Macaca mulatta: one gene and its partners. The main gene of each other region encodes a partner of the protein of the gene in region 2 in a complex. Links are inferred from orthologs where the notes say so. Each region holds a gene or a part of one and is shown on either strand. Other genes may lie near its edges.

Evidence for each region.
Region 1: GTF2E2 (region 2) and POLR2F share a complex: the UniProt entries of both Homo sapiens proteins name them as parts of the TBP-based Pol II pre-initiation complex. The link is inferred for Macaca mulatta from reciprocal best matches to the Homo sapiens genes GTF2E2 and POLR2F.
Region 3: GTF2E2 (region 2) and GTF2H4 share a complex: the UniProt entries of both Homo sapiens proteins name them as parts of the TBP-based Pol II pre-initiation complex. The link is inferred for Macaca mulatta from reciprocal best matches to the Homo sapiens genes GTF2E2 and GTF2H4.

Annotation. Positions count from the first base shown.
Region 1 is NC_133415.1:13,537,607-13,540,384, forward strand, and holds the end of POLR2F (DNA-directed RNA polymerases I, II, and III subunit RPABC2), read right to left. Parts: intron 1,322-2,778; coding exon 1,250-1,321; intron 794-1,249; coding exon 703-793; 3' UTR 619-702; downstream 1-618. UniProt on the Homo sapiens protein: DNA-dependent RNA polymerase catalyzes the transcription of DNA into RNA using the four ribonucleoside triphosphates as substrates.
Region 2 is NC_133413.1:32,393,472-32,397,122, forward strand, and holds part of GTF2E2 (transcription initiation factor IIE subunit beta), read right to left. Parts: intron 1,465-3,651; coding exon 1,357-1,464; intron 1-1,356. UniProt on the Homo sapiens protein: Recruits TFIIH to the initiation complex and stimulates the RNA polymerase II C-terminal domain kinase and DNA-dependent ATPase activities of TFIIH. Both TFIIH and TFIIE are required for promoter clearance by RNA polymerase.
Region 3 is NC_133409.1:152,144,793-152,148,543, forward strand, and holds the start of GTF2H4 (general transcription factor IIH subunit 4), read right to left. Parts: upstream 2,348-3,751; coding exon 2,211-2,347; intron 1,950-2,210; coding exon 1,845-1,949; intron 1,457-1,844; coding exon 1,325-1,456; intron 739-1,324; coding exon 642-738; intron 551-641; coding exon 462-550; intron 246-461; coding exon 134-245; intron 1-133. UniProt on the Homo sapiens protein: Component of the general transcription and DNA repair factor IIH (TFIIH) core complex, which is involved in general and transcription-coupled nucleotide excision repair (NER) of damaged DNA and, when complexed to CAK, in RNA transcription by RNA polymerase II.

The DNA of each region.
Region 1 (2,778 bases), on a different chromosome or scaffold from region 2:
GGGCTGGGAAGATGGCATGGGTGTGGCACACCAAAGAGGTGGGCCACAGAGGACAGCGTGTGGGCAGAGTCCTGAGGAGGAGTGGGGACAGAGGCATGGGGGCAGGGGTAGGCAGGTGCTCGGTCCTTGCTTCAGCCGCTGACTTGCCCAGCAGGGCTCTGCCTGGGGACGGTGGGAGATCAGCACACCCCCACGCTTCCTGCTGGGGCACTGCTCCTGAAAGGGGATCCGAGCCCACGATAAGAGGCTCGAAGCAGGTCCTTAGGAAACAATGGGTGGCTTGATGAGACCTGCTCTGTGATACTCCTGAGAAGGGAGAAGCCCCTGCAGCCAGTCCCCACTGGAAAGGAAATTGGGGGTTTCCGTGGCAACCAGCTCCCTGGGCACAAAGACTCGTCTGTCTGCTGGGAAGGCAGCTGAGGTGTCTCCCCTGCAGCAGCCTTTGCTCTGGGGAACAGGGAGATGGAGGGAAGGATGTGGGGGATCCAAAGGGGCTAAGGGCCTCTGGTGCTTCTTAAGGAGCTGACAGTCACAGGGCCACTGGAATAGGTGTATGCTCCAGGCAGCATGGCGGTAACAGGGAAGCAAAAGGTGGTGACATCGCAGATAAGCAGAGGGGAAGGGGGTTGGAAAGTTGAATATTTTATTTACACATATAAAGTGGGAATGAAAATTGGGCAAGGGCAGGAAGATGACTCCAGCTCAGTCGGTGATGATGAGCTCGTCCACCCCCCAGTCTTCATAGCTCCCATCTGGCAGGTAACGGCGAATGATGATGGGGATCTTTCGGGCCCTGTGGCAGGGGAAAAGTCACAAGTACATGAGGGCTGGTGACCCCAGCTCTGCCGCAGAAGGAACAGATTGTGTGCAAAACACAAGGAAAGAGAAGTCTTAGGAGCAGCCTCTTGGGGCTGATGAGTGTACTTTGTAAGAAAGCAATTACAAGAAAAAGAAAGTTTTTATATCAGACAAGAGGGGGAAGAGTGATAGAATTATTGGTAAGGCCTCCTGCAGCAGGAACAGGGAAACTCCAACAGCCAGAAAAGGTCCCGGTCTCATCAGTGCCCTCCCCCCTTTCCCTGCCTCCTCTTCTCTCTTCCTCCTACCTCCTGGTGAGCTGTTCCTAATGATCTGTAGGAATAAGCATCAACTTCTTCAGCCAGGGAAGTGGGAGAAAAGGGTGCAACAGAGAACCCAACAGATGCCTCCCAGAGATTTGGAGAAGTGAACCATGATTTGAGTGACTTACTTGAGTTCCTTCATGGCAATGAGCAGAGGATCTGTCTCCCCCTCCAGCTCCACCATCACAGGGGCACACATCCTGTAGGGATACGCACAGGTGTTGGGGAGACTACAAACCCAGGGAGAAGGGCCTAACAGGCAGTGAAGGTGGAACGGCATCCTGATCCCCACCTAGAAACATCATCTTCTAGGTAGACAGGCACAGTAGGGAGTGGTGTGTAGGGGCACTGCCAGAGATCTTCCCTGGCAGAGGCCTATCGCAGACGCCTGAGCCCAGCGGCCACAGCAGAGTGTCCTGGTGGAAAGGGTGGCGTGTGCAAAGGCACACCATTCTAACTGCTCCAACCCCAGAGCCTTGCCTCAGTGCCCAGGGCCCCTCATTTCAATTTCTATTTTCTCTCTCTCTCTATTTTTTGGAGAGAAAGTTTCACTCCCATTGCCCAGACTGGAGTGCAATGGCAAGATCTCGACTCACTGCAACCTCCACCTCCCAGGTCCAAACAATTCTCCTGCCGCCTCCCAAGCAGCTGGGACTATAGGCACACACCACCAGCTATACTAATTTTTTGTATAGATGGGGTTTCACCATGTTGCCTAGGCTGGTCTCAAACTCCTGGGCTCAAGCAATCCGCCTGCCTCAGCCTTCCAAATTGCTGGGATGAAACCCAGCCTCATTTCCATTCTCTATAGCCACAACACCTCAGTAGAAGCCCTGCCCTTCCTGCCCAGCCCTCCCTACCCTTCACCTGAGGCCAGCAGGCAGTCCAGGGACTCATCTGCTTACAACACTGCTATGACTCCCCTTGGCTATCAGGCCAGAGTGCAGTCTGGTCCCTGTTCGCCTTCCTAGCACAGTCCCGTGCTACTTTCCTGTATTTACCCCACATTCCAGCCATACCAAACTATTTCTGGTTCCCTAGACGAGCCATGTTGTTTCCCTTTTGTGTGCTCTTACAAGCTCTTCATCTCCCTAAAAGCCTGCAAGAGGTCCGGATGTCTCCATCCTGGAAATCGTGTGCTGACTCTTCAGTACCCCAAGTCAGTCAGGATATACTTTTCTTGGCACCAATCTCACTGAACTGTAACTACTTGTTTGGAAAGTTTCCACATTAGACCATGAGCTCCTGGTGGCCCAGAACCACATGTGATTCACCACGGAGGTCTAGCCCCCAGCACAACACTTGGCCCACAGTGGAGACTACCACCAAGCAAAGGGATGCCAATTCTAGGCCCATCTCCTCTAGGAAGTCAGTCTTGATTATTCCAGCTTAGGTTCACACTAACACATCCAGAATGAACAGGAGAGCATGCTAAAAAATACAGGCTCACGGGTCCTTCTCCAGAATCCCTGAACAGAATCTCTAGTGAAGCGGCCTGAGAGCCTGCATTTGCAGAACTGCCCAGATGATTCTGATAATCAGCTAGTCTGAGAGCTACCAGCTTACTGATTTTATTACTAAATATTTCAATTTATATTACTCCCAAAAGCCTGAAAATTTCCCAAGGGCAGAGATGGAAGATTTAACTTTCCCTATA
Region 2 (3,651 bases):
TGGCACTGGCAGCTGTGTAACGAACTGAAAAGGACCAGACTAGTGCATACAAGAACTTTACCTATGTCAGCTTGAGAATGAAACTGAGTAGGAATGCAGGAATTACTGAATATAATTATGTTTCTAGTCAGTTCTGTTGTACAGCTAGTATCAGAAGGAAAGCTCTTCAAAAAGAGCAACCCTATATATTTTCTTCTGCAGCTGCCAGCCTGACCCTGAAAGGAGAGAGAGAAGAAACACAGGAAGAAGAAAAAAGGGAGAATAGAATAGTAAAATGATCAAAGTCATGTTAACTATATGTTGGTAGTCTATGAACTCTCAAGGTTAGCTAAACCAGCAAATTTAAATGTGGATTACCATTGTTTGTACATCACTAATACAATGAGCTACAATTATGCTAATTAATGGTCATGCTACATTATAAAAGTCAAGACCTATATTTTGCGTGGTAAAAAAATAAATGAATTATACGTTAGGAATTTTACATTTGGATTCTAGAATCTCTCTCTGGTCCTAGAAAGTAGTCTTCTTAGTTTTCACTTCGCATTTAAATTCAAAAGCAGTGAACATCTGAATTTTTAAATGCTATTTATTTCCAAATTAGCACGGTCACTGACTGTGCTGGGGTTTCTTCAAATGGTGTGTGTTCATACACAGCATTCACGACTTTTTTCCACATCAAGCCATAAGAGCAGTAATTATGCAACAAAATATCTTCCTATCCCTGCAGTATCTTATGCTTTAAATTTTCTAAAACAAAAACAATTCAATTTACAAGCATACAAATTATAAATCTGGCAATACAAAATAAGCATTAATTAATCTGTAAAAACATAAGTGGAACTGGTACAATGACTTCTTTACAACCTTTACACAGAAGTCTTACCTTTAACATTTTGAAATAGATACATAAAATTAAGTGAAAACCAACAAATCAATCTTACAAATGTGTACATTCAAAAAACAAAGACCCTACAACATTTCTTTTAAGAAAAAGTAAAAAGCATTATCAGATTTCACCATATTAAAACATTCTAGGCAAGGTGCGGTGGCTCACGCCTATAACCCCAGCACTCTGGGAAGTCAAGGTGGGCCGATCACTTGAGGTCAGGAGTTCAACATCAGCCTGGCCAACATGGTGAAACCCCATCGCTACTAAAAACACAAAAATTAGCCTGGCATTGTGGCGCATGCCTGCAATCCCAACTACTCGGTAGGCCAAGTCAGTAGTGAGCTGAGATCACGCCACTGCACTCCAGCCTGAGCAAGACTCTTTTTTTAGGCAAGACTGCCTAAAAAAAAAAAAAAAAATTCTAGTTACAGGAAATCTCTCTTGATAATCAACTAAATTCTCACCTCAGTCATTAGCCATTGTTTCTGCTTGAGTCCAATATCTAAATGTTGTGTTTCATCCAAAATTTCATCTAAGGTTAGAGGATGCGTATCTCCTCGCTGATGCCGTGTCTATCAAGTGAAGAAACTGTTATTAGAAGACAGTTTTAAAATGCTAGATGCATTAAATCATAGTTACGTGTACATAAATCTTCAGGAATGAAAAACATGTATTATTCCAGGTAGTATAATTATAGTGACGAAGAGCCACAGACTATGAAATCAGAACGGAGTTGAAACTCATTGCTCTATAAAATAAAAAGATAAACTGACAAAAAATATATGCAACTCATATCACCAAGAGCTAATTCTTCCTAATATTTCAAGAGCTTCAAAAACCTAACAAATAGGCCAGGCATGGTGGCTCACGGCTGTAATCCCAGCACTTTGTGGGGCTGAGGCAGGTGGGATCACTTCACGTCAGGCGTTCGAGACCAGCCTGACCAACATGGTGAAACCCCATGTCTACTAAAAATAAAAAAATCAGCCGTGCATGGTGGTGCATGCTTGTAATCCCAGCTACTTGGGAGGCTGAGACAGGAGAATCGCTTGAACCTGGGAGAAGGAGGCTGCAGAAAGCTGAGATCTGGGAGACAGAGCAAGATCTCAAAAAAAAAAAAAAAAAAAAAAACAGAAAATGACCCAAAGACAGAAACGTGCAGATTACAAAAATGACCTTAAACATAGGAAAAGATACTCAACTTTCACCAAACAATCCTATTTCTAGAAACTTATCCTACAGAAATACCAGTACCACATAGAAAAATGACTTACGGGCCGGGCGCAGTGGCTCACACCTGTAATCCCAGCACTTTGAGAGGCCAAGGCAGGCGGATCACGATGTCATGAGATCAAGACCGTCCTGGCTAACACAGTGAAACCCCATCTCTACTAAAAATATAAAAAATTAGCCAGGCATGGTGGTGGGTGCCTGTAGTCCCAGCTACTCGGGAAGCTGAGGCAGGAGAATGGCGTGAACTCGGGAGGTGGAGCTTGCAGTGAGCTGAGATCACGCCACTGCACTCCAGCCCGGGTGACAGAGCAAGACTCCAACTCAAATTTAAAAAAAAAAGAAAAAAAAAGAAAAGAAAAGTGACTTATGGTCACTGTAGCATTGTTTATAAAAAGAAAATATTAGAAATAACCCAAGTGTCCATAATCAGAAGATAGATTAACCACAGCACATCCATTCCACTATACTGATGTTCACAAAGTAAATGTAAAATTTCTCTATGTGCTAATTTGAAAAGATGTCCAGGACAAAGTAATAAGTTAAAACACATATGTATCATGCCTATCCAATGAACACACACACACACACACACACACACACACACACACGTAGATACCAAAAGCTAGAGCAGATGCAAAGGAACAGGAAGAGTGTGCAAAATGGCACAGCCACTGTGGAATGACAGTTCAGCAGTTTCTTACAACACTAAATACACTCTTACCATTTGATGAATCTAGCAATCATGATCCTTGGTATTTACCCAAATGAGCCAAAAAATTATGTACATACAAAAATCCACTAAGGATGCTTATTACAGCTTTATCCATAATTGCCAAAAGCTGGAAGCAACCAAGATGTCCTTCAGTAGCTGAGTGGGTAAATAAACTGTGGTATATCCAGACAATGGAATACTATCCAGAGCTAAAACGAAATGAGCTATCAAGCTATGAAAAAAATATGGAGAAACCTTAAATACGTATTACTAAGGGAAAGAAGCCAATCTGAAAAGGCTACATACTGTATGGCTCCAACTACTGACATTCTGGAAAAGACAAAAACCACGGAGACAATAAAAAGTTCAGTGGCTGCAGGCCAGATGCAGTGGCTCACACCTGTAGTCCAGCACTTTGGGAGGCCGACGCGGGAGGATCACAAGGTCAGGAGATTGAGACCATCCTGGCCAACATGGTGAAACCTCATCTCTACTAAAATACAAAAAATTAGCTGGACATGGTGGCACGTGCCTGTAGTCTCAGCTACTCAGGAGACTGACGCAGGGGAACCACTTAAACCCGGGAGGCGGAGGTTGCAGTGAGCCAAGATCAAGCCACTGCATTCCAGCCTGGCAACAGAGCAAGACTCTGTCTCAAAAATAAATAAATAAATAAATAAAAATTTAAAAATTAAAAAAAGTTTAGTGGCTGCCAAGGGTTGCAGGGGAGAGAAGGATGAACAAGCAGAGCCCTGAGAACTATAGTGGTGGACATAGGCCATTACACATTTGTCCAAACCCACAGAAAGAACAC
Region 3 (3,751 bases), on a different chromosome or scaffold from region 2:
GGAGGGATGGGAGGGAGACAATGGGAAGAAAGGGACAGAGAAGAGAAAATCAGGGAACAGTCTGTAGGCAGGAATCTCTCAGTGAGACCTGAGAGGAGCAGAGCATGCTGGCAAGTGGCCCCGGCGTCCTCACCTGGGCTGTCTGCAAATACTGCAACATAAAGTACCAGAGCTGAGCCGGCGTGTCCAGCAACAGGAACTGGAAGCCAGCGGAAGTAATGCAGGGCGGCTCTCCAGGTTCAGTACTACAGACAAAGACCGGGACAATGACGGTGATATGCAGAGAAAGACTACTACCCCCACTTGTCCGCTCACATTTTTTCTTTGTATCTCTGGCTGTATTCTACTCAGCTTGCCTTTTCCAGCTAATGTCCTCTGAGCTTGACTAGCCGCAGATACCATTTCTTAGGGACCCAAGGAGATGGCACTGCAGAGAGCTGCTATACCTCCGGTTTCCTCACCTCTTCATGAGCCCAGCCTGGCTGAGGAGCTGAGCCAAGTCCTGGCTGACAGCTGCACTGGGGGAGCCCACCATGAAGTGCAAGACCACCTGAAGAACAGAAGAGAACAGGGAGACCATGCCCCAAGGGCCATGGGAAGTAGAAGCACAAGCAGAGACACACACAGTCCCAAGTGCTTACCTCCCATCGCTCCTCGGCATACTTGTCAAGGGAGGGAACATCCCGGGCATGCTTGTCTGGTCCCAGCTGACTTGTGTCATCAGACCAGGCCTTCCCCCTAAGGCCAGGATGGGCCAAGAGTAAGGAACCCTGGCCAGGAGCTCACACCTGTAATCCCTGTACTTTGGGAGGCCAAGATGGGCGGATCACTTGAGGTCAGGAGTTTGAGACCAGACTGGCCAACATGGTGAAACCCCATCTCTACAAAAAATACAAAAAATTAGCTGGTGGTTGCCTGTAATCCCAGTCACTCAGGAGGCTGAGGCAGGAGAATCACTTGAACCCAGGAGGTGGAGGCTGCATTGAGCCAAGATCGCACCACTGCACTCTGCCTGGGTGACAGAGCGAGACTCTGTCTCAAAAACACACAAAACAAAACAACAAAAAAAGAGTAAGGAACCCTGTCTGTGTTCCTTGCCACCCTTCTGCCATCTTTCCACCCTTATCCTCAGGGGCCATGAGTGGGGGACATTTCCTACACCACACACTGCAGCTGATCCAACTTACTCCTAAAGGAGCTCCCAACGTGGAGACCACAAGGTTCCGGGGAGGCCCCCAGGAGCTCCCCCTCCCAAACTGTAATTAGCGGTTTAATAAGCAGCAGTTCCCCTGCCCTAGCTTAGGAAGAGAGAGAAGTGACATACCCACCCAGAAGGGCAATGCGGAGGTTCTGGCGGAAAATGGGGTTGAGGATGAGGCCCTGGAGCCCGCCTGGGAGCAGCTGGGTGTGCCAGATCCGGAGGCCGCTCAGCAGCCCTGTACTTTCCTCCTGAGCCCTGGAACAGAAGCAGAGAGGTGAGCAGGGTATTTGGAGAACAAAAAGGAGGACCATAAAAGCCACCTCTCTGCCTGTTCTGAACTTGCTGATCCTTGGAACACTGTTCCACAGAGTGATATTAGTATCTGAAGACAAATTCTTTACTGCATTACCTATCAGAGCCTTATTACAGATATCACACATAACTCTGTAAGAGGGAAGATACATCTGAAAGCAAGAGGTCAGCTGGGAAATAAATAAAAGGGAAAAGGCAGTATGCAGAGTTTCCCAAATGTATTTATTTTTAAGTTTTGTGATATACCTATTAATACGTCCTGGAAGTGCTCCAAGGAACAGTAGTTTGGGAAATGTAGCTGTTGAGAAATTTGTATCTGGCTGAGACTTACTTGCTGAATTCCTTCTTTACCCACAGGGCTACAGCAGCTTGTGGCAAAGGCTGCTCCAGAAAGAGCATCCGCATCACCCAGTTCTTAGCCAAGGATGGGAGCTCCCTGAACAGGGACAGAGGTCAAAGGTTAATATCAGAAGCTGCATTGTATCTGCATCTCTGCCCTCAATTAACTCTCAAACATCTCATCTCACTCCACCACAACTTTACCAGTCCTGCTGTTTTGGCCCCCACACTTTGGAGCAATTTCCAAGCCGCACCCCGAGTCCCCACCCCTACCCCAGCCTGCTACACTTTTATCTGTTATATTTTATTCCAGTCCGCAGACCCCATTACATTTCCCTGCCATGAAGGGGATCCTCACCTGAAGACAGCCAGACAAGTGGCAGGGTGCCCATATAATCGGTCCAATACCCCAGGGCTCAGGCCCCCTAAGAATTCCTGCAGATTCCTGCATTGTAGGTGTACTCGGTTCAGTCCCCTTGAAGGGGTGCTCTCCATCACCTGAGGAATGCAGACATCAGAAGCGCACCCCCACCATCCATGCCAGTGTCACCCCTGACCTTTCTGATTCCAGATCCATGAGTCCCCACAATAACCCCACCTTTTCTGTGGCCTCCTTTCCCATGACACTCAATTCCTCTGGTTTCTCAAAAACCTGACCAATCTCCATCCCTTTCTTGCCTCCTCACCCTGTTTCTGCCCTTCAACTCCAGTCTTTCCTCTGCTCCAAGTGACAGAATTGTCAACTGTCCTGTGTTTGCAAGATCATTTTGTATTTCAATGACTTGTCTCATCTTCGGCTAAACAGAGACAAAGAAAATTGAGCCCACACCTCTCTCTTCCATCCCTCCTGGTCAGATCAGTCTATAAGCTCCAAATCTACCCGAACTTCCTATCTTCTATCTCTTAGCCCACTTCTGCTAAGTACGGCGGTAACCTCTCCCCTCCATGCTTCCCAAATCTAAAGCCACCTCTTTTCCCTTCCCAAGTCTAGTTCACCCCATTCACCCTGACCCACGCCTTCCGATCTCCTAGCTTCTCCCTGCCTTCCTCCCACTCCTCGCCTCTCACTCACCTGTCTCTCTCATACCTCTCCCACTCCCGCCCTCCTAGGTCCCCTCACCACTCTGTCGATCCTCCTCGCGCACCCCGAGTCTCGGGCCGTCGCTTAATCGGAGCCAAAGTCTCGCATTGGCTCCTGGAAACTGAGGGAAAGATGGTGAAAAAATGCGAAGAAAAGATGGGGAAAGCGACGAAAGATTTCACAGGCAAGAGCCCAGAATGGAGAATTCAGAAGAGAAGGGAGGTAAGGGGAGGAGTGGAAAAGTGAAGAGGATTAGAATAGACGATGCACACTCCCGGCGCGGGGGATGCTGGGAATTGGAGTCTTGTCTTTGCTCTCCTTAGAGCCGGCTGAAGTGCGTCTGACTACAAATCCCGAAAGGCACGGTGGGGAAGCCGAAAGGCAAGGAGCCGGCTTTTAATTGAGAGAGCGGGAGACACCAGAAGCCGGACCAGTTGGTTCTGCCAGAACCAACTCCGCCCACGCTGCTAACGGCGCATGTAACCCGATGGAGCGGGAGGCGGGTCGGGGAAAGTAGAAGTGCCTGGAGGGCTTCCGTGCGGAGGCGCGCTGTGGCGACTTGGTGGTGAACCGATTAGACTTAGGGACCACAAAACTGGATTCCGTGAGCACAATTACTCCCCGTAAAATTGGGATAATGCACACTCCGGGCCGGACGCGGTGACTCACTGCTGTAATCCCTGCACTTTGGGAGGCCGAGGCGGGCGAATCACCCGAGGTCAGGAGTTCGAGACCAGCCTGGCCAATATGGTGAAATCCCGTCTTTACTAAAAATACAAAAATTAGCCGGGCGTGGTGGCGGGCACCTGTAATCCCAG